Regions from separate parts of the Mus musculus genome. Here all the other regions are reported to be linked to region 1. The links are microRNA targets in miRTarBase. Many come from high-throughput screens and were not tested one by one. Region 1 holds a microRNA gene; each other region holds the end of a gene's coding sequence.

Region 1 (3,096 bases):
CTCTAAAGTGTCTAGCTCTCCTTACAGCAGATGATAAGCAGAGATGCTGTCAAGAAAACCAAAACCAATAACCCATTACTCCTTTCTCTTTTAATCACTTTCCTTGGCTTTTACTAGCTCCAGAGTTGGAAATAAGGTCTCTTTAAGCTCCCTTCTAAAAAGCTCTAGAAGTCTCATCCAACATTTTTCAAGACCTTGAGATGTAAGATTTCTGTCTCTATTTCTAGAGAAGACAATTGATGCCCAAGAAAACTTTAAACCTGGGTAGGACAAAATTTGATACTATCAAGCATTTTGAATAACAGGATCATGATGCTAAACAAAATATCAAATAAATTGAGATGGCTTGGCTCTTCTGGCAGCTGCCCTGGTAGCTATGAGTTCAAACATCTTAATACTTCCCTGCAAAATCCACTGCCTGTTTTGCTCTTTGTTGCTGTTGCTCTCCCTTTTGCAAGGGAATATAAAAAGCAGACAAGAAAAAGTGGTGGGGTGGACAGCCAAGGGACACAATGAGCTGATGGATGATATAATTCCCAAACTGTAAACAACTTGTTTTATGACCTTTTGGAAGTCTTTCCCTAAACATCAGACTTCATTTTCTCATTTATAATCTTGAATGGGTAAAACTAGATGACTTATAAGGGCATTTTAATATCATTAATTCTTTACTGCTTATGAGAAAAGGCAACCAAGTTAGACAAAGCCGGCTAAGGCCACAAGAAATTACTGTTTCAATTCTGTTAAATAAATTATCTATCTTTTCCCCTGTTAGTATCTATCTTATATGTTTAATTTTAAAGCACATTTTAGTCACTTTTATTTATGTACAGGGGATCAAATACAGAGTATTGTACAAGTTAGGTAAGTGTTCTGCTACTGAGTTTTATCTCTAGATCTTGATTGTTTACTTTTTTGTTTGAGAAAGGGTAGTATTATATAGCCCAAATTGACTTTAAATCTGAGGTTCTCCTATCTCTGTCTATGAAAGCTTGTATGCACACATGTACTATCATACCTGGCTATAGCCACAATTTTTGAGTATTTGTTAGGTAACAAACACTAAATTAATGGCTTTATATGCATTATTACATATTCTTGCCATGATTTCATGGGCATTTTTGTGGCTATGGAAGAAGTAGGTTTCAGGGACATAAACTCATTTATTTAAGGTGTTCAGCTAGTTAATGGTAGAGGTAGAATTCAAATCCAGTTTTAAAAATCAACATCTAGGTACATAACCAGGGTAAACAGAGCATACAAGAAGTTGATAGGAGGAAGGAACACATAAATTGTCCCCGAGGACAGAATGATGACAATTTTTTCCTGTTTCAGCTGAATAGAAGAGTTAATTGAGGCTTGGGCCACCAGAATCTCCAGACAAACACCCAGGATCCCCGTTTTTGTTTGGAGCATTAGCGTGTTTTGTTCACTTCCCTCTTTTGGTGTGTCTTAGTCAGTCATGTTAGTGTCTGCCATTTGTCTCACACTTAGGGTAAGATATAATCACCCTATTTTTTTCTCTTTCCAGTTGCACATCTTCCAGCATGTTCTTGCTGCCCAGTGGAGGTTCCTGATCTGGCCATCTGCAGTGTCACGCTCCGTGTATTTGACAAGCTGAGTTGGACACTCTGTGTGGTAGAGTGTCAGTTTGTCAAATACCCCAAGTGTGGCTCATGCCTATCAGCTCCAGGTCCAGGACAGAGCACATAGCCTGCTGCCTACATATGAATGCTTATGAAACATGAAGCTCTCTGGTGTTATTCTATGTCTTTAAGGGAACTATAACATTTATTCAGAGAACATCAGAGTAGGAACGATGCAGCTCTGGGGTCTACAAGTCTGGTATGCATCTGTGTACATTGTGAAAATGCCATGGACTGCATAGTGGTACATGAGGGATACAGGGAATGAGAGTATTATTTGATTTATTATTAATGTCTTCTTTCACTTTCCTCTTCTTGCAGCCAGAATAGCAGAATTTTCATACAAGCATCATGAATTCTATGAGAAAGTAGGAAATAAATATCCACTGTCTGGCCTTCGGAGCACATCTTAAGCTACCTACATTTTCTCTTTTCCACTTTGCTTTTATCATTCTTAAAAGAACCTTCTTGTTTATCTTCATTGGGCTTTCAGACACTACCAAATTCCAATTCCTCTTGGCACTATTGAAAGTTAACCTATACTTTTCTTTACTCCTTGGCTAACCACATACTGGTATGTGCTATTATATGTCCTACCATCCAACACATCTTCTAAAGTTGTCAGTGAATTTTTCCAGGGTATGTTCTTGAATTCCCTATTATATTGTAAGAATCTAGAGCTTATTATATTCAGTTGATTGCTGTCTCTCATACCATTGTCCAACATTTTAATTATTAATAAATATTTACCAATTAATTGATGTTTTACTAGTCAATAACCTTTTGCTATATAGGTCAAATACCAACCAGGGTTTTGCGAAAAAAATAAATCAAACTGTGGGTATTCTAATGCTATAGTGTATACAAGATGGTAACCAAAATGGATTTTTTTTTCCTCTGAGAAATAAGATTTAGGTCTGGGGCAGGAGGGCAAGAAGAAAGAATAGACTCAGAGGGAAAAATTTTTTGAATTATTGGTTTACACGTGTCTTTTTAAACAGAATTTTCTGAGCCTTTAATATTCTATCATTGCACTGGGGTGAACTTCTAATATAGAACTATAAAATGAAGCATCTCCAATCCCTCTCTCCAGAGTCTAACATTTCATAACATATATTTTGGCAAGCTTCTTTAGAGAAATTCCATACTCTCCCTTGGTTCTGGAGAAATTCCATACTCTCCCTTGGTTCTGGAGATACCTACTTTCATTCTTTAACTTTTCACCCACTAACCAGTGACCTAAATAACAAGACCCATATTGTTACCCCAATTTTGCTCAGAATTGTCGGAGGGATGCATCTCTATCTAGGGATGACTTACTGGCTTACCCTGCATGGAAAAATACCATTGTTTAGGGACAAAGACCATCTTCAGAAGATGTCTGCAGCAAAGTACACACACTGCTAAAAATCCACAGGTCTAACCTCCAGTCTTTGTTCTGCCATTGACT
Region 2 (3,096 bases), not on the chromosome of region 1:
TTTCTCTGGGCATTAGTCATGTGAGTGCCCTGCGTGTGTTAGGCACTGATCTAAGCTTTAAGGTAAAACTGAACCAAAAGCCTTTGGCTCTCCGGTGCCTGCAGGGATCTCTCCTTCTCTCCTATTTTATCCTTTGGGTTATTGAAGACTGTGCCTACAGTGGATAGTCTGTGACTTTTTAGTCCCTAATAGAATCACATGATTTCTGTCGTCTTCTTAGGTTATGCCAAGGACTTGAATGGATGATGTCACGGCTGAAGATCAGATGATCTCTTCTGACCCCTCCTCACAGACTCTGTATAAAGAAAGTGCTGGACTTTTCCTGAAAGCTGCAAAAAAATGGTTTAGATATATTTATAATAAACTGACTTAAGAGTTTTCTATAAGAAGAAAATTAAGACCACTTATTTGAAAACAAAGATGAAATGTCACCACCCGTTTGCGCTCTCATTCCTTCCAAGCCTGTGACTGGTATTTTCTCATGATGAATCCTCTCAGGACATGGCAGAGCTTGGCGAGTACAAAGGGAGAGGAAGACATTTGAACTTTAGAACTTTGTTTCAGCGTGACTCTCCCACCCTGCCCCAAGTTGAATGTTCCCTTCACATTGAATCAAATACAAATCAGCACAGATACTGTTTCCAGTTTTTAAAAATGTAATATTATGGAAAGTATTTTGCTTCAAGTTGAATATGTATTGTGTATATACCTCAAGTTCAGGTTAATGGCTTTGATTTGTGCTCTAAAGCAAAGCAAATAACACAGGTTAATGGTAACTTGTTGTTCTCCTGATCTAACTGAGTACCACCTTTGGTGTTAAGTGTCATTGTTTAGTTTACCCTCTGTTCTCTATGTTGTCCTAACAAGCCAACCCCAACCAACAATTGTTAAGCTGCTCCTTAAAAATGAAACAGGAGAAAGCCTGGCATTGTATACCTGTTTTTGTTGCTCAGTAATTCAGGTGGAAATATATAACGCAAGTGGGTAGAGCGTCTGCCAGACTCCTGGCCTGGTGTGCCTGGGTAGAATTACACGATAAGCAATGGTCAGACTTTCCTTCTGTGGATCCTTATGCCAATTCAGCTACTAATCGGTCATTCATAAATGGTGATTAAAATGATCAGGTAATTTTTAATTGAAAATCATGGTGTGAAATATATCTACCCAAAGAGGTAACATCCTATAAATAGTAGTAATTAATTTAGCTGCAACCTTTTTAGGTATTAAATTACATGACAAACAGTTAAAATGAATTTAAGAATAAACATAAGGCATCGTTTTCAATGAACAGTAATAATTTCCCAATTTACAGATTAGTGTCTACAAAGGTTTTCTTACATCTTCTTCCATTGCATAATATGCCTTGTGTAATAGTTAAGAAATCATTTTTTCTGAATGACTTAAAAAATTTGATTGAAAATTTGGCAAATTACATTATTTGTACTAGAATTTGACCTAAAACACTTTTTATGTTTGTTAAAAATATTTGCTTTTTAAAATTTAGTTAAAAATTGAAGTATTTCTGTCATAGACAAAATTACTCTGTTTTAACATATTCCTGGTGGACTATATCAACCTTTTGTGCCCTGAAAACTTGAAGGTTAACCCAAACTGTCAAGATTTAGGATAGTCAAGAAAAGGTTTAACTAGTTTTAGTATCAGACTTTAAAATTTCTTAAAGATTTTGGTAAGAAATAGAAGTCCACATACAAGCATTGAGGAAACTGAAAAATCTTTGTAAGACCCTTAATGGCTAAAGCCATTGGCTGTAATGAGTGTTACTGTGTGAGGCTTTGTGTATGAGATCTGTGCTGTAAGGCTCCCAGTGTTCCTTCAGCATTAATGCTTTCCCACCTGCTCCAAGAGAACTAGCCCTCAACCAGTGCTGCGGCCTGTTCATATGCTCTCATACTTTTTCAAATCATGATGAGAATTTTTCTCCTATATACTAAATCCTCTTAAAGACTCAACTCTTTGTAGTTTTGTCAAAGACAAATACTCTGTAAAGTCCCCCACCTACCCCAGATCTACAGCTTTTTAGCTTTTAATTTGAATCATCTGCATAGTTGCTTGGATCATTGTTACATCAGTTCAGCGCATAGTAGCAATTCTGGTGTGGCCAAGGTGTTGGCTGAAGTTTATTCTTCATTGGATGTTTAAAGCATTTACTCCATTGTTAAGGTTGGCATCATATAGTCAGTTACTGACATGGCATAAGACAGCATGAAACTTTACCACATTTATAAATATGAGGGATTTTTTCTTTTGTTGGTTTTTAACCCTTTTAGACTAAGCCTCAAAAATATTATCATACCTGTGTACTTGTACATTAAAAACAAAATTATTGCTGAGTAAGAAGATATTTAATATATGAAACTCTCATAACTGTCATTAACAGTATTAATTAGGTCTAAATACCGTGGAGCAGCCCTGATATCATGCTGACAGCTTACGTGTCAGAGGGCAGAACTCAGCCAGTCCTGTGGTTTCAGGTGTTAATATGTAAACAAGCATCTCATTTAACTTCACTGTGCTCAGCTTTGAAAAGAACAAAGATTTATACCTCTGTACATGTGGATAGATAGAAGTGTCCTGTTTTGATACTAATTTTGAAAGTTGATTATCTTCTCTTGATATCTTGGTTAAAACTGGCCACAAGATAAACCATTTGGATATATTTGATTTTGTCATAACATTTGTAAAGTATATGTTTCTCATGAGACTGAGGGTTTTATTTTTAAAATCCCCTTACATTTCTAGCACACCTTGGCCATCACAGTAGACAAAGAATACAGAGAAGGCAGTGGGTTAGGCAGTGGGGGATGGGTTTTTGGTTTTTTTTTTGTTTTTTTTTGGGTTTTTTTGGTGACATTTTCTCTTAAGAAAGTGCTTTAGCACCGCTGGCTGGCATCTTTAATGCAGGTGGTAAACCTAATTCCATAAGCATGGCCTGCCCGAGCCAGAAGGAAGAAGAGCTTGCTCCCTGGCCTGAGGAAGTGCCTCGTAGGTAGTCATGGAAGTCACAGGTAAGTGCAGGAGCTTGAAGACAGGCAAGAGGTCTCTAAGGTGTTCCTTTCCTTTGTCTGAGTGTATAGT
Region 3 (3,096 bases), not on the chromosome of region 1:
GTTTCACAACAATGATAGAAAATTCAGCTTAGCAAGGTGTGAGGCAAAGTATGTGGCAAGGCCTTTGTAAATGTCCTGGCAGTTTACTGTGAATGTGGAGTATGCTGGGACTGCTCACCATTCCAATCTCACCCACAAGCAATGAATGAGATTGGGTCCTGAGCTAGCGTCAGGAGAGGAGGAGTAACCAGCTGTTGTGTCTCTCCAGGACTCGACAAGGAGAACGTTGAACTCTCCCCCACCGCTGGCCACTGTAACAGTGGACGGACTCGCCATGGATCCGCAAGCCAAGTGCAGAAGCAAAGAAGTGCTGGCAGTTTCAAACGTAATAGCATTAAGAAGATCGTGTGAAGCGTTCTTTGTTTCACTCTTCAAACCAACCTAACATGGCTTCTCACTAGTGACCCCTCACCTTGCACTGCTGCACTTCGTGTCTTATGATCCCATCTGGTCGCCGTGTCGCCAGACGGTCATCTCTTGGAGCATTGCCTAAGTTTAATGCTGCTTTTCTTTGATGTTTTTCCTTCTACTTTGGCATGTGTCTGGTTGAGCACTTGTTCTGAGGACAGCAGAGACAGCAGGCGGTCAGGAGGCCTGACTGAGAGCGTGGACCGTGGGTGTGGATGAACCCTGCAGTGCTGCCGCTGCCGCAAGCCACGGGCCGTACGCGGAGGACGGCCTTCTGTGTTCCCGTCTTGCAGAGTGAAGGGGTCGTCTTAGTTACACACTTATAAGTTTGGGGGAGAAATCATATTTTAACCCCAGTGTATTTAATCTTCTAGCTGTGGACTTTTTTTTTTTTTTTTTTTTACCTTATGTAGTTGAAGGAACCACAGAGGCCAAGCCTCAATAAAGCCACAGGCCAGGGACTGAGGGAGGGGCAAACTAATATTTTGTAACGAATTCTTAAGAAATACTAACATTTGAGTCTTAGCAATAAGTACAGGAAAATAAGCGTGACACACACATCTTAACATTGCTGAATTAAAGCTATTGGTTCTGAGGCCTTATACATACTTGGTCATCCAACCTGGGTAATTTTTTTCCAGTTGATTATCTTTTAATTTTTACATATGAAGGTGTTCTGTTCTTTTTTTTTTTTTTTAAGCCAAGACTATACTAAGTATAGAAACTACACTTGTGTTTGCACTTGCTTTCTCCTCTTTCCTAAGTGATTCTAAGCAGGGTAATTTGCAGACAGAGTGGTGAGACTCGTTTCCACAAGGTAATTTTCATAGCTCTTTCCATTGGCTCCGTAGCAAAATGGAATGGTACGTGACATAGGGTAGGTGATATTTTTATTTTGTTAAATAATTTTCCAAGAAACAGAATATGCTGTATATTATCATAAATTTCTTTGATAAGATGTATTTTTAAAATCTTTTAATCTTACTCCTCTCCTCCAAATAAAATCAGGAATCTCTAGCAAAACATTTGGATTCTATCTGATAGGATTGCATTTAGTCACTGTGAAGTCTGGCCGGCCTGTGTGGTATGGACACAGGACCTCTAGGATCGCTGCTGTGCAGAGTGGCTGGACCAGTGGGACTCAGGCCCTTCCAAGGGATGCACACCCAGCTGCTTCATGGTACCCGCAGGATGCAAGACAGTTTGACTTTAGTGAGCACAGTAGTACATGGATGCTCTCAGTTAAGATTGAACTATATTTATTTTTAAAAGGTATTATCCCTCTACTTCCAGGTTCCCTTCATGTATTAAGACATAATGGCTTTGGGAGGGACCAAAAGAAACCCAGTAGGGTGTGGACAGGTCCTGTAGTGCTGGCTCACTAGTGGATTTCAGTAAGTTAAACTCCACAGCTAAGTCAATAAATAATGGTACATTTAAGTATTCTGACTTTAATAATATAACACGTTTCACACTTATCCATACAGTAACAATGTAATATGTTAATGTAAATAAAATTGCTTTTGATATTCAGAAATAACAATTTAATTTTTTTAATTTGTTTACAGCCCTGGGAAAAGTAAGAACCATTTGCCAAAATAAAAGGAAACCCCTTAGTGTTAGTAGTGATTTTAACATAGAATCACTGGAGACTACTGGAGACAGATGCAGCAAACTGAGCTCTTGTAAAGGCTGCCTTAGAATAACTGTCAGAGCAGATAACCAAGGCTGGGAGGCTGAGATGCCAGCTGAGTTTAGCCGCAGGAGGCCCGTGGCTTAGCTGCCAGGCCCGGCTCCCCACCGCAGTACTGCTGGGGTGCACCCCGCTCTGGCTCCTGCAACCGTGGGCAGCACAGACTGAGGCTGCTGTAACTCTAGTTGCTTGGCTTTTTTAAAGTCATTGAGTTCCATTACTGGCCCATTACTGTTTTGCTTCCCCCATCAAAACAGGACAACTTATAAATGTGCACTCTTCCTGTAGCGGGTTTCCCCATAGTTCTTAAACTGCCCCACTTGAGCTCCTATGGAAAGATCAAACGGAGCCACTTCTGACCAGTACATCCCAGGAAACTGGGGCAGCATTCCAGTTTTATCTAATAGACAGAACTTCCAGCTTTTGAGGAAAGTCTATCTTTGCAAGCAACTGAACCTACAGAGCTTAAAGTATCACTAGCTGCCCCTCCCCCAAAGGAGACTCTAATTACAGGAGCAGCTGAAGGTCTGAGTAATGTCCCATTTTACACAATTTGGTGTGAGTTCTGTGATTCATTTTCAATTTGTGTTTCCCTGACTTAAAAGAAAACAAAAAAACACTAACGGCTGTGTTTGTGCGTTTGGCTGGTACTCCTCCCCTGGGCTCCCATGCCCTCACTGTGGGGACACTGCACTCTGCTGGACAGTTACTCTTGCCTGCATAGTGCTGAGGCCGGAGCCTGGACAGTGCAGACTGCCACAGCCCCAGTGGGGGGACTCGCCCCAGCAACCACTTCCTTGGGGGGTTTAAGGTTGCAAGTTTCCTCTGGGAGATCTGGCTTTTGTTTTCCAGGTTTGGAGGAGTTTCCCCCCCCCCCTTTTTTTTTCTACATTACTCCCCAAGCATATTGAAGCATGTCTTATTCAATGTTATGCAATGGACTTCCACAAAAATTCACTTAGTGTCAGCCACACAATTTTTTTTTAATGCGGTAT
Region 4 (3,000 bases), not on the chromosome of region 1:
GCCCTGTAAAGACCCTTTCTACTTTGAGATCGAACCAGCTAACCTCAGACAGTGACACTGACAGATTGCCTCAGTTTCATGTCTCCTAAGTCTTACACCCTTTCTTTCCAGGAAAGACACAGATGAAGCTGACCTGGTTCTTGCAAAAGAAGCTAACGTGAAGTGTCCACAGATTGTGATAGCATTTTATGAAGAGAGACTGACGTGGCACGCATATCCAGAGGATGCGGAAAACAAAGAAAAAGAAAGCGCGAAGAGCTAAAGGAGGAGGCAGTCTCTGTCGTTTCTCTTTGTATATAATACCTTTACTTTCCTGCCTCCTCTCTCTCCTCCCACCCCTTTCCATCCTAAACGCATCCATAAACCACTGCGCTCATCACTGTGCTCCACGGGGGAGATGCTGGTATTGGTTCTCCTGTAATATAACTGATGATCTGATTCCTAAGTGTAGCTCTGTGAACGTCAGGCATTACGTCATTCACATGCTGTGTGGTTCCCATAGTGTTCTCTTTCACCCTGATCTTTTCCTTCTGTTCCCCTGTAACTTTTTAATCACCTTAGAGTCATGATCTTTGGGGTTGGTTGCTTTGGGAGATTTTATTATGACGATGACTTCAGTTTCTTGATTGTTATTAGATTATATTGATGACCAGCTGGCCTTTGTTTTGACATACTGGCATAGAAAGGATATTGTCCATCTATTTAGAAAACTATTAAGGGCAACCTACCTGTTGTGTCTTTTCCGATCTCATTTAGCTCTGCCAGGAGAATACAGGGTCCCTGGTGTGGTCTTGGGCCGCTCCTGACTATCCTCACATACCCTCCCATAACAATTCAGTTCTCTTAGGGCTTGAAACTTCACATTTAAATCTGTCAAGGCGCTCTGTTTAGCCCTCACACTTTCTTGGCCTTGTTACTTTCAATCCCTGATTCTGCTTCTGTAAAGTGGTATCAATTTGTTATTAAATGACAAGATTAACTGTGGAGTCTGTAAGCTGTAGTGCAGGAAGATAATAGGATGGGGCTGGATACAGTTATCACGTGGTGTGTGTGTATTCTTTCCTTTATCCCTCATATTTAGACTGTATTTATGTAGGTGTGAGTGATTGCCTGGTGCTTGCTTGTGCCAAGGTGCTGGGCACCCTCTAACCCTGCCAATTTTTATGGCCTCCCAAAGCATTCCTGTACCAAAGAGGCATCAGCAGATCCATGCCATTCCCTTCCGTGCCATTATTTTAAGTTGGGAATTTTTGGAGAGGAGCCACTAGCCACAGTGTCACTGGCTTTTACGTCCTTGCAGCAGTGATGCTCTTTAATTTACTGCCTCATGGCTTGTGGATTTGCCACCAAGTCCTCAGAGGATTAATGTTCCTGTCCTCTCCACTTGAGTCTGAGGATTTTTAGTTGTAGCTTATTTTAAAAACATAGAAGATTATGGCCTCAGAAACCGACAGGTCTTGATATTAACTTTTTGACACAACCTTCTCTCACAACAAACTACTTCCTTTTTGGTTTACTCTTGCTTTGCTATTATTTCTGCTCCTATTCTACTTTTTGTCCCCTGAAAAATGCCCATCTTCTCTTCATTTCTTTCTTCTTGTATAGTTGAGGAAGCTGGAGAATCAGGACTAAAAGTAAGGAAATAACAGAGTTTGGAGCTGAGCAGTCTTGTCCCAGCTCCAACGCTGAGGAAAAAGAATAAACGCTGAAGTAGCCTTAATTCCAGACTTCGTCAGCTACTGAGCTGCTTTTGTTGTTGCGTTTGATTTTTTTAAAGCAAAGCTGTCTGGGCCAGAGCATCTAGCCACCGGGTTGTTGATAGTAATGAGAGGAATGGATGGAGTGCTTCAGTCCACAGATGAGCCAGATAATATGCAAACCCTAGACCCATTCACAGCATTTGTTAACACTGCTTTCCTGCTCAGCTGCTACTTGAGTTCTGTGTTCTTGAATAAATTATGCCAACAATTATACTGCACCGTTGAGAAGGCAGCTTGTACTGCAGTGACATGGTAGACAGACAGTGAAGCTTTGCCTTACTTAAGTCAGCCAGGAACAACTTGTGAATGGTAATGTGGTGGGAGAATAGCACCTAACCCATACCTCACATGGGTGAGCTTTTTCTCTCTGTAGTCCGTAGTTGTCTGAAGATGTTAGAGGCAATATCAAATGCTGGATAAGTGACCGATGTCTGTACTTAACTTGATGAAATGAAGGATGGTTAGAGAGCAGATCTGTCCTTCAGGCAACCAAGGCTAGTAGTAATTAGGGCAGATGAAAATAGCACAGAAGTAGCCAGAGCTCCTGAGGATCTTGACTGGCAACTAGAGGAAAGGACCACCCACTGAGTAGTCAGGAGTAGTGGGCATGTACATTGCAGTGACCATATTTTTTAAAGCAAAATCTTAGCCTTTGGGCAACCATAACAATGATATTTAGTCCTATATAATATAAACCATAATAATGAGATTAGTCCTAAGAAGTCTGGCCTGGTGACAAAAAAGTACACAGTCCCAGACTGATACAGGGGTACTGTATGTTCAAGGCCTGTTTGGGAACTTAGTGAGACCCTGACTCAAGATAAAAAATAAAAGGACCGAGGATACAGTCTGAGAGTTAATGCCTTGTAATGCAAAAAATGAAGGGAAAAAGTGTCCTGCTGGTTTTAATGCTCTTTGTAATTTTTTTCTCTTAAAAGTTCATGGAGTATTGGTTTTCTGTTAACTATTACCAAAACATCCTTGTTTTCTTCTTAGTACTTTTCCTGGTTATATATAGAAATAGGGAACCGGGATTCTAGTATTATCTTCAACACTCAGTGTAAAGAAGCCAGACACCCATCTGTGCCTCCAGCATGTGTTGTGCCAAGTAGCTTGTTTCTGCTGGAGAATTGCAGCCTTGGACAGAAGTGTTTCCTAGAGCTATCTTCCCTCTAAAGAGTTCACAACCAAAGGTGAAATACTCCTAAACACTTGACTATATTCTCCTGTGTTAATCCTC
Region 5 (3,096 bases), not on the chromosome of region 1:
GGGCACCTCCCAAAAAAAGATGTTCAGGTCAAGTCCTCCAGTCAGCGTGGTCAGAAAGGTTCTACCTACAGCTGGCACAACAAGTTCGTGGAGGTGGCAGACATTGAAGAACAAGGGAAGCCTCAAAGCCTGTGCTTGCTATAATTTCCCTGCAAAATATGACCACTATTTAGAGCGAGCAGTCTGCAAACGGGAAAGCTGTCAATTTGAATATTGTACAAAGTGTCTGTGTGCTTACCATAACAACAAAGACTGTTTGAATGGCAAGATCCTAAAAGCCAACTGTAAAGTGGGTCCTTTGCCTGTAACTAAAAAGAACTTACTAAGATCGTGACCTTTTAGAAGATCAACTGTAGATCTTGGCTACTTAAAACAAAAACCAAAAAACCCTCAAACTTTAAGAAAGTAAAAATAATTATGATGCCTTTTGTGAATAGAGGAACTAATTGTTCATAAAAGTGCCAAGATTGACTTATGAAAAACAAACAGGATGTCTATCTTAGATACTAAGATAGAATTGATTGGAGTTTTGGCAAGGGAGGGCTGTGGTCTGTTTGATGGATCTGAGAGCACTTGCTTCAGTGTCAGTATCTGAGATTTGCTTTACCAAATTTGTGTCATGCTTCTATCAACTTGACTCTGTCCATTTAAACGTCTGTCAATACGAGTTTTTTATATCTGTAAATATCTGTTTTCACGTGCCGAATAAAACAAGTACACATAATTTTGTTTACTTACAATAAAATTGTTAGAGGCTTAAAAAAAAGAAGTTAAATGGAGCTCATATTTATCTTACGGAACTAGCAATTTTCTTCCTTTAACCATAATCTACAAAATATAGTATTTTCATCAAGGCCTGAGATTATTAGGGTTAAAGGTGTCTGCTGCTGAAAAGATTGTTTTAAAAGGTTCCCCTATGAAAATGGCAAAAGTCAACTGAGTCCTCTTCTCCATGACAGTCTCTATAACACTGACTGCGTACCTTCAGAAGAGAGTATTACTGCAAACTTTGGTGGAAAGGAGACATCAAGGTGACAAAATAGCACACAGAATACACACATCCACACATCCATGTGCACGTGTATGCACACTCACGCACAGCATTTTGTAAAAATTAACACGGTATCATCACTTTATCAGCTCATCCTTCTACTCGTTGACTCCTTAGAGGAGTCAAAGGAAACCGCAGGTATGACCTATGGAAAACTGAAGAGTAACTGTAGGCAGCGGTTCCCGACTCTAAAAACCAACCAAACCAAACATTGTGCCACACACGTTAGGTGGAGATGGGAGAACTCTAGGCTCTAACTGAACTGAGAGCAACGGAACACCAATACAAAAGCGTCCCTTTACTTTTGCACAGGCTGTGCTGCAAAAAAATAAAGTCTGAAGTCGGGCTCTCCAGGTGGCAACAGGAATCTCTATGGCTCTCTTCTATGCACTTTGTGGAGAACTTCTGTCAAGTCTGCAAGTTCAAGGCTATTTACTCGGGGTTCTGCTCCACTCCATGCGTTCTACGTCTTAACAAAATTATTCATGATAGTGTTATCTGAGGCTTAAATGAGACAGCTTTAAGCTATTGCTCTCGAAAGTCAACAAGAAATCTGCTTGCTTATGCTGCACTGGTTCTGAGACATACACATTCTCTCTACATGAATACAACTCATTTACCAAATACTTGAGGAAAACAGTAACCAAAATGTTTCACTTTGTAACCAGAAAATTACAATTTCCTAAAATGAAGCTAAACATAAATATGTCTTTAGATAAAAATAGTAGCAATTATGACCCCAATGGCCAATATAAAGAAAAATCCTTATTTATTTCTGCAAAACGCCACTTGCTTTGAAATGAACTCCAGCCATCCCTGCATTTAAATTTCGTCACACGCAATGGGGAATGTTTATGTAGGCTACTACTGAGGCTTTATTTGCAACACTGTAACAGTCAGTCACTGAGCAACACAACTTGTTTTTTCTTTTTTCTTTTTCTTTTTTTTTAAAAAAAAAAGCCACATTTACACATGTTGAAACAGTGAATGCAACAGTTGTTCTACTGGTAACCACATGACAAAAGTGATGTCACACACCACAAATTTGCTGGTTCTCCTCATGTTCCCTATACCCAGGATTAGCATCTCCTAGGGATCAATGCACTTCTTATTCTAGTGTGGAATGGAATGAAGAAAAGGAAATGCATAAAACAAGGAAAGGCAAAAGAGTGATGTTCCCTCTTTAGCTTTGTAGCTGTGAAATATTTAATATCCCAATATGACATACATTCCAAGTTACCTGAGTTTAGACTTCAACTGAAGTACCTGAAGCTAGGCCATAGGGTGGGCACTGTGCAACTGTTGTGGCCATTTTTTTTTTTTTTTTGCATTGTATGTATTATAGAAGTTAGAAACAAACACCTGGATCAATTGTAAACATAATCCTGAAGTACAGTATTTTCCATAGGACAAAACACAGCAAGACATTTTCTACTTAGACAGGCAACTTTTTGAAATAGAGCTTATTCATACTGAAAATGTTGGAACAAAACACAGGACACAGTACTAATCTGTCAGACATACTATGAAATGCATAGTCTCCATTAAATGCTGAATGACACACACATTTTTGCAAGCATTACTGCTTTCCACAAAAACTGCTGAATATAAGTCGGTCCCTGCCAAGATCAGTGTTAATAGCTATTTTGTGATGCTAAGTACTTTGCTGTTGGTGATGTTGGGAAAGTTTGTCACTCCATGCAGATAGATGTCTGAGATCTCATTCCCAATCCATGGACCATGGGTGGAGACCAGCTCCCCCTCTGCTTTAGATCATCACATAGTTCTGAGTGGAGACGTGTTCCTCCACCTGCAAGTCCTGTAGGAGCTGCTGCTGCTGAGATGGCTGCTGGGCAGAGGGCTCCAGGGAGTCGGCTGTGCTGGTGTCATCAGAGAGAGATGTGAAGGAAACCCGGGAGGAAAGCTGCTCTACGGTCAGTGTTGCCAGAGCCGAGCTCTGGCCAGAATTAGGGGAGTTCTTGAGCATCAGGTCAGAGGCAGGTAAGAGAGGGCCTAGAAGTTTTACAGGACAGAAAGCTGATCCG
Region 6 (3,096 bases), not on the chromosome of region 1:
AGCTTTGTGCTGACAGAGGTAAGGGCAAGTAGACGGAAGGGGCAGGACCCACAGTGGAGGCTTGGAGCAGGGCTACATTTTTTTACTTCACTCCAGTTGACTCAAAGCAACTCATTTCCAAACATCAGAAGATGGGAGTCTATGCTGCTCGGGTCTCGTGCTGCCACCAGCAGCTCTTCTGGAGCAAAGGCCTGTAGTGATTGTTGATGGCTTGTCAACCTCTTCCCATCACAGGTAGGTAGTATGTGCCAAGCCCCAGCCTATGGGCCCAGACAAGTCCAACAGGGGGTTGGCAGGTTGGGGGAGCTGAGACAGGATATCAGCCTGCAGCTGGTCTCTGATCCTCTGCCAAAGATCCAACTAGTCCAGGCATCTCCAACGCCCGCTAACTAGACAGCACCTTAGTTCCTAAATAAGAAAAGAGGGCTTTTCTCTGCTCCCCTCAGTCAACCTGAAGCCAGAGGCCTGAAGCTGAGGCCTGTGTGGCCAGACTACCTGCCCTCTTCTCAAACGCTGGGAAGTGAATGGGTGGCTGGTGTGGATGGGCCTGGCTCACTCTCACAAGCACCTCTTGTCTGCTGTAGTTTCAGTCAGGATCCAGCTCATTTTCCATGGACCTAACTGGGCAAGGAAGAAGCAAAGGGGTCTTTCCTGCTACTCCTAGACTTGGGAGCCTGGCGGGCTCAGAGAGATGCTGCTTTCAGACCTGGGGGTAGAGCCTAGGTCTCTGTCCCTTCACTCAAGGACATGGATCAGATAAAGATTTCCACTGGGAGCATGCGTCTCGTAGAGTTATGTTCCCTATGGTATTGTCGGGGAGATGAGTAGAGAGCCTTTCAGAACCCCATTTTTCCAAGAAGAAAAGTCTACACTAGGCCACACAAGGCAAGCATAGTGATTCTAGCCCAGGAACACCCAGGAAGCATGTGAGTGAGTGGAATGGGAGTGAACTCTGACCTTGGGGCGGGCAGGCAGAGACCCCCTAGAGCTTCAGATTTCTCTCTTTAACGCAAGATGGACTTGAAGGCTACCTGGGCTCTTAGAGACATACGGACTCTCAAAGCATTTCCTCCCTGATGCAGCCAGCCTGCATCCTATACCCTCCTGGAGGCCAAGTATACAGGCAGTGAGGAGCCTCACTGGTCAGTCCCCCAAGGGGCCCCCGAGGCATAAGTAATGCTGGTGGCTGTAAGACAGAGCAGCACCAAGGGAAGGGCTAGGTGGGCACCAGCCTGCGTTCTAGCAAGGTCTGAGACCGTGGGAACGCCCTGACACTATGCACATTCCATTTTGGCTTCAAACAGGAGATGAGATCCCTGTACCAAGGAGACAGCAAGTCTGAGTAGGGAGGAGCGAGGAGGGGGCGGACCCGGCCCTGCAGGAAACTGGCACACCAGTCTAGAGATACAACACAGTAAAATGTCATCAGGATCAGTAGGCTCTGTGCTAAAAAACTGTCACTACACAGCGTTTTCTCCAGTTCTGACACCTTTTTAATAAAAATCACTGTTTTTAGGAAACAAATAGCACTTTTGTAATTTTTACAATGTTTCTTACCTTGATCTTAATTTAAGTAACACTAGGAAGACCTCAATATCTTTTATTTTCCTTTTTAATAAAAAAAAAGTTGTTTTCCCCAGGTACAAAGATTTTTTTTTTTGCCCTTGCATGAAAAAACAAAAAACAAAACCAGAAAACAAAACCAGAAAGTAAAAAACAAAACAAACAAACCAGAACAGTGCCTGACTGATGACACAGGACGCACACAGACTCACCGACCTCACTTGACACTATGACGCCTACTCTATCATGCAAGGTCTCCGCTACCCTCAACAGGACCGTCAGCCTGAAAAAACAGCTTTTCTATTTCTTATTTTAGTTCTTGTTAAAAAGAAAGAAAGAAAGAAAGAAAGAAAGAAAGAAAGGAAAAATAAACAACAAAACAAAACTTTGTTTAAACAAAACAAGAACAGAAACAAAATAAACTTGAAGAAGAGAAAAGGGTTGTCTCCATTCACACACACCTGGGTCGTGCTGCTCTGCTTAGAACCTTCTCTTCTTATAAATATAGAAAAGGGATGGAGCTTGTTTTCAAGTAAACCTCTGATCCGCCTTTCTCCCTCCGGACCCCTCGCACCCTCCCTTCCCTGCTTAACAAGGCCTAGAACCACCCGGGCTCTGCACTACACCAAGCAGAGGGGAGGGGCTGCTGGAGGCTGTGGGCGGGGCGAGCTAGGGAGGGGCGGGGCTCTCCTCTTGCACTTCGGCCCCTCCAGGAACGTTAAATACTGCTTATGTCATATACTTTCCCACCCTTGCCCCCTCCCAGCCCTTCCCGTCCCTCTTCTGGGCACTGGGTTAGTTAAATCTCTATTTCCTTTTTTATCTTTTTTTCTTTTTTTTTCGTTTTTTGGTTTTATGGTAGTGAAAAGTTTAGGAACAGGAAAGCCCACACACTCTTTGGACTTGTCTTTCTACCTAAACAAACGGCTCCCAGTAAGGATCTGAAACCTGCTCTCCTCCCTCCGCCCGTCCCTGCTCCCCACCCAACAAAACAAAAACGAACCCACCGTGGCTGTGGAGGCTGCTGCAGGCACACACTGGTGTATAATAGAGAGAGTAATATATTATGTCACTTGGCATGGTGCTGGCAAAGAACCTCCAGCTGGCACTATTTCATGTAACATGGTCCAGTCTTTGCATGTACACACAGAATAACAAGAATCAATTGGCAAACTCGGGTGCCACCTGGCACAAGCATCTTCTCTCTCTCTGGAACCAAAGAACCAAAAGAACTCTGTACTTTCCAGAAGAAATCCGGCTTTGCTCTTCTAGCGTCTCCTCGCCACCAGGACTGTGGCATGTCCGCCTCGAGGGCTCTGTTATTTAGTCTCTTCCCCCTGGTTACAGTTCGCTGTGCAGCTCTGCGAGGAGGGGGAAGGGGCGGGTGTGGAGGCGGCGTTGGCAGGGGGAGTGCAGTCTGGGCCATTGGAGAGGGCCCCCGCCGTGGCCTCTGAGTCCACAGGTCTGCAGAGGTCGACGCCATGCACAAGGCGGATGAGCCGCTTCACCTTGTCCAGGGAGCTGCGCATCTCC
Region 7 (3,096 bases), not on the chromosome of region 1:
ACACTAAACCCATTGGTGTAGACTTTCTCAATCCTTTCTCAATCCTTCAGGCCTACCTACCCTAAGTCCCCTTGTCAAGGTCCTCCACTGTGGCAAAGGACACACAGGACCTGGGGCTGTCATGTGGGCATCTTTGAGAACCACTCTTCTGTCCCTCATCTGATCAGCCAGAGAGGCACTAGTTCTGGGTGCCTAGAAGCCACTCTGAGGAACTCCAGGCTGTGTGAGAGGTTCTCTACCCTCCTCAGTGGCCTGGAAGGCCAGGGACAGTGCCACAGCCCTCAGCCAAAGTCACCATATACTCACTTGCTCTGGGTGCTCCTGGCTGAGCTGACTGCAAGACAGACAGACGAGGTGAGAAATTCCTAGTGCAAAAGAGCCCCATGAGGAAAAGCCATTTGTCCCAAGGATAGGAACACCTGGGGACGGGCAGGAGGCAGGAGCCACAAAGAAAGAGTGCTCGCATGCCTACCTAGGTTCTGGCTCAGAGGAATCTGCCCCTTCTCAGAGCGCCCCAACAACCTGAATCTTTCTTATAAGTGCAATCTTAAGATGGTCTTCAGGGCCATGGGAGAAACCAAAAGCCTGTCCTGCTGCCCTCAACTCTCTGGGAGCCAGCATTCTCCCCCAACACTGTTACAACAAAATACCACGCCTCAGGAACCAGACATGACCACCGGAGGACGATGAAGCTACCTGCTCTCCAACCCTGAAGGCTGCAGTGGAGTGCTGAAGTCAGTCTGGCCCTGGCTCTGGGTTCTAGCCACAGTGGGCTGACAGAAAGGCAGCCGACAATGCCCAGGCCGTGCTACCTGATATCATCAGAAAGGCAACAAAGCAGGGTGGGCATGGGTCAGAGTTCCTCTGCAGAAGGTGCTAGATGATACCCTTACCACCACCCACAAGCTCCATCCCTGGCCACAGAGAATGTGCAATCTTCACAGCTGCCCCACCCGGCCCTAGGGCACCTGAGGTGCAGCCTCAAAGACTTGGAGACTTGGCATGCAGCCTCCAGCTCTCCCTTGCTGAAAGTTTTCTTCCTACCCACAGGTAACCTGAGTCTAGACTCAGCTGAGTGTCCCAGGAACGGGCGCTGGCTGACCTGGAAAATTACCCAGGCACCAACAAAGCCACACACTTGAACCAGAGCTGAATCCAGAACACCACATATGCACCCTGCCGGGGAAAACTAGGCTTTGCTCTGCCCTATTCTAAGAAGATAGGACCCTTGGAAGGGGGCAAGCTCTTGGGGAGCCGTGAGGAAATGGGCCTCCACAGACAAGATCAGGCAGGGCTTATGCCCACCTGCCCTGCTTCAAGCTGCCTCCCTTCCTGTATTGAAACTGAGTATCTTCAAAAGCCAGGCTTCATCCCGCTATTTCCAGCCAGTTGCTTCCTACCAACTCCTCCAGAATCCTGTACCCTAACGGGATTTCCTCACAGTTGCAGTTACTGGGACACACAGGTGGGAGGTCCCAGGTGTCAGTCAACAGGGCCACTCTTTCCCATCACCCTGGAGCAGGGACACCACACCTAGACTCAGGAATGCACACTGTGCCGACTCTGAAACCACCAAGAGGAGAGCTGGTTAGGCCAAGGAGAGGATGTCTTCCAGCAAGGAGAGCACTCGTGGGTATAGTGGGTCAATCGCTCTTAGCATAAACGAAGGCTTGATTCTTGTTAGACTTACAGCGTCCAAGACACCACAGAGAAGACAGCACACACCCCTCCTCTCTGAATGTGCAGCCATGGCACAGGAAGAGGAGGGCCCACTGTCGCAGCAGTCAGAAGCCAGCAGCCAGGAGGGGTTGGAAGAGAATGTACGGGCCAGGAGATCAGAAGTGGGGCTGTAGGGCCTCCCGAGAATTCCAGAAGACCTGCCTCTGGCTGTTAGCAAGAGCCTACTCTTGGGGAAAGCCAGCAACCCCGCTCTTCATGCAGTAAGAGGTGTCTTTTCAATTCTTCCCATACTGCCCTGACCAAGACCTGACCAGCTCTTTGCTGTGCCCATGGTATGAACAGCTCAACTGTCATGGCCCTGCCCAGCGGGGCCAACTTCCCAGTCTGGCACTCATACTTGAAACTGCTACCCAGGCTTGGAGTTACCCATAAGCCAGGACCTACCAGGGCTAGAGCCATCCATAAGCCAGGGCTTACCAGGGCTGGAGCCACCCATAAGCCAGGACCTACCAGGGCTAGAGCCACCCATAAGCCAGGGCTTACCAGGGCTGGAGCCACCCATAAGCCAGTTGACTTGGGGCTCAGTCATGGTGGGCTCCTCTGCCAGCTTGACCTCCATAGCTTTTGCTGTGACCATGGAAGATACTCCCAAGGTCCCGCCACCTATGGCAACACTAGCCAGGCATAACCAGGTCATTAGGAAGAGACAGAGCTCAGTGTGCCCCAAGGGGTGGCTTGGGCACATTTCCCATTGGCCTCAGGCCACACTCAGACAATGCTTCTCCTCCAGCCCAGCCACTTGGCTCCTCTGTCTGGTCCTGGCTAGAGCCATGGTGGCTTGTGACACCCTGGAGCATTCTTGCCTTGCATGCATCTCCAGTGGCCCATGGGCTCCACTAGGCTTCCTTCCCTGCTGCTGTGGATGACAGGTACTGGCTAGTGGGGGCTGGAGGGAGCCCTGGTCTGACTGGGGGTCCAGCCGCGGGACACAGTGGGGGCCGTCTGGCCTGGCCTCCGCCTCTCCCATAAGGACACATCCTTCGTTCCAAGCGAAAGGTCCTGCCGTGGGAACTGTTTCCATCAGTCCTGCCTTCTAGAAAGTACGTTAGCATCTCTCCCTTGCCCTTCACGCTGACTTTGCCTCTGCACACAAACTGGTATGAGCACCTCTTCAGCAGCCGGTGGACTTCCTCAGTCACCTACCAGGGGAAAGAAGTCAGCATTACTCTTAGTCATGGATAATGAGGGGGTCTTCTGGAGGGTAGGAGCTCCCCAGTGACCTTTGACCCTGCACCTCACTTTCCACCACAGCTGCCTAATCCTGGTGATATTTGGACAACGCTACTTCATATATGGGCAAGTGGGGACAGCTGGGGCTAGAGACCCAGCACAGCTTGGGTGAGCCATTGTGACTGC

Evidence for each region. The annotated mature microRNA mmu-miR-223-3p reads UGUCAGUUUGUCAAAUACCCCA and lies in region 1 at 1,645-1,666, shown strand. An mRNA with a match to its seed (bases 2 to 7 or 8) in the 3' UTR can be bound and repressed. Matches are read on the target gene's strand: a 7mer-m8 pairs with bases 2 to 8, a 7mer-A1 pairs with bases 2 to 7 and ends in A, and an 8mer does both.
Region 2: miRTarBase lists Arl5a as a target of mmu-miR-223-3p. Seed matches in the 3' UTR shown: 7mer-m8 at 363-369 and 7mer-A1 at 2,203-2,209.
Region 3: miRTarBase lists Nf1 as a target of mmu-miR-223-3p. The part of its 3' UTR that is shown has no 7-base or 8-base seed match.
Region 4: the mRNA of Cbx5 is a reported target of mmu-miR-223-3p. The part of its 3' UTR that is shown has no 7-base or 8-base seed match.
Region 5: the mRNA of Glcci1 is a reported target of mmu-miR-223-3p. Seed matches in the 3' UTR shown: 7mer-A1 at 583-589.
Region 6: the mRNA of Phf21a is a reported target of mmu-miR-223-3p. The part of its 3' UTR that is shown has no 7-base or 8-base seed match.
Region 7: the mRNA of Adcy1 is a reported target of mmu-miR-223-3p. Seed matches in the 3' UTR shown: 7mer-A1 at 1,481-1,487.

The regions. Positions count from the first base shown.
Region 1 is chrX:96,241,240-96,244,335 of GRCm38, forward strand. Mir223 (microRNA 223) reads left to right here and starts at 1,578; the gene lies at 1,578-1,687. F630028O10Rik (RIKEN cDNA F630028O10 gene) reads left to right here. Exons shown (of 3, transcript NR_030718.1): 3 at 1-2,403.
Region 2 is chr2:52,399,557-52,402,652 of GRCm38, reverse strand. It overlaps Arl5a (ADP-ribosylation factor-like 5A), which reads left to right. Exons shown (of 6, transcript NM_182994.2): 6 at 221-3,096. The coding sequence ends at 269. Among named protein-coding and RNA genes, the nearest start is that of Gm13522, 23 kb to the right of the region's middle.
Region 3 is chr11:79,578,046-79,581,141 of GRCm38, forward strand. Nf1 (neurofibromin 1) reads left to right here. Exons shown (of 58, transcript NM_010897.2): 58 at 209-3,096. The coding sequence ends at 351. Among named protein-coding and RNA genes, the nearest start is that of Rab11fip4, 12 kb to the right of the region's middle.
Region 4 is chr15:103,196,903-103,199,902 of GRCm38, reverse strand. It overlaps Cbx5 (chromobox 5), which reads left to right. Exons shown (of 5, transcript NM_001076789.2): 5 at 112-3,000. The coding sequence ends at 262. Among named protein-coding and RNA genes, the nearest start is that of Smug1, 35 kb to the right of the region's middle.
Region 5 is chr6:8,592,976-8,596,071 of GRCm38, reverse strand. Glcci1 (glucocorticoid induced transcript 1) reads right to left here. Exons shown (of 8, transcript NM_133236.3): 8 at 1-3,096. The coding sequence ends at 2,820. It also overlaps the pseudogene Gm16042. Among named protein-coding and RNA genes, the nearest start is that of Gm35621, 29 kb to the left of the region's middle.
Region 6 is chr2:92,360,210-92,363,305 of GRCm38, reverse strand. It overlaps Phf21a (PHD finger protein 21A), which reads right to left. Exons shown (of 19, transcript NM_001362829.1): 19 at 1-3,096. The coding sequence ends at 2,883. Among named protein-coding and RNA genes, the nearest start is that of Large2, 9.3 kb to the left of the region's middle.
Region 7 is chr11:7,169,196-7,172,291 of GRCm38, reverse strand. It overlaps Adcy1 (adenylate cyclase 1), which reads right to left. Exons shown (of 20, transcript NM_009622.2): 20 at 1-2,879. The coding sequence ends at 2,577. Among named protein-coding and RNA genes, the nearest start is that of Ccdc201, 18 kb to the left of the region's middle.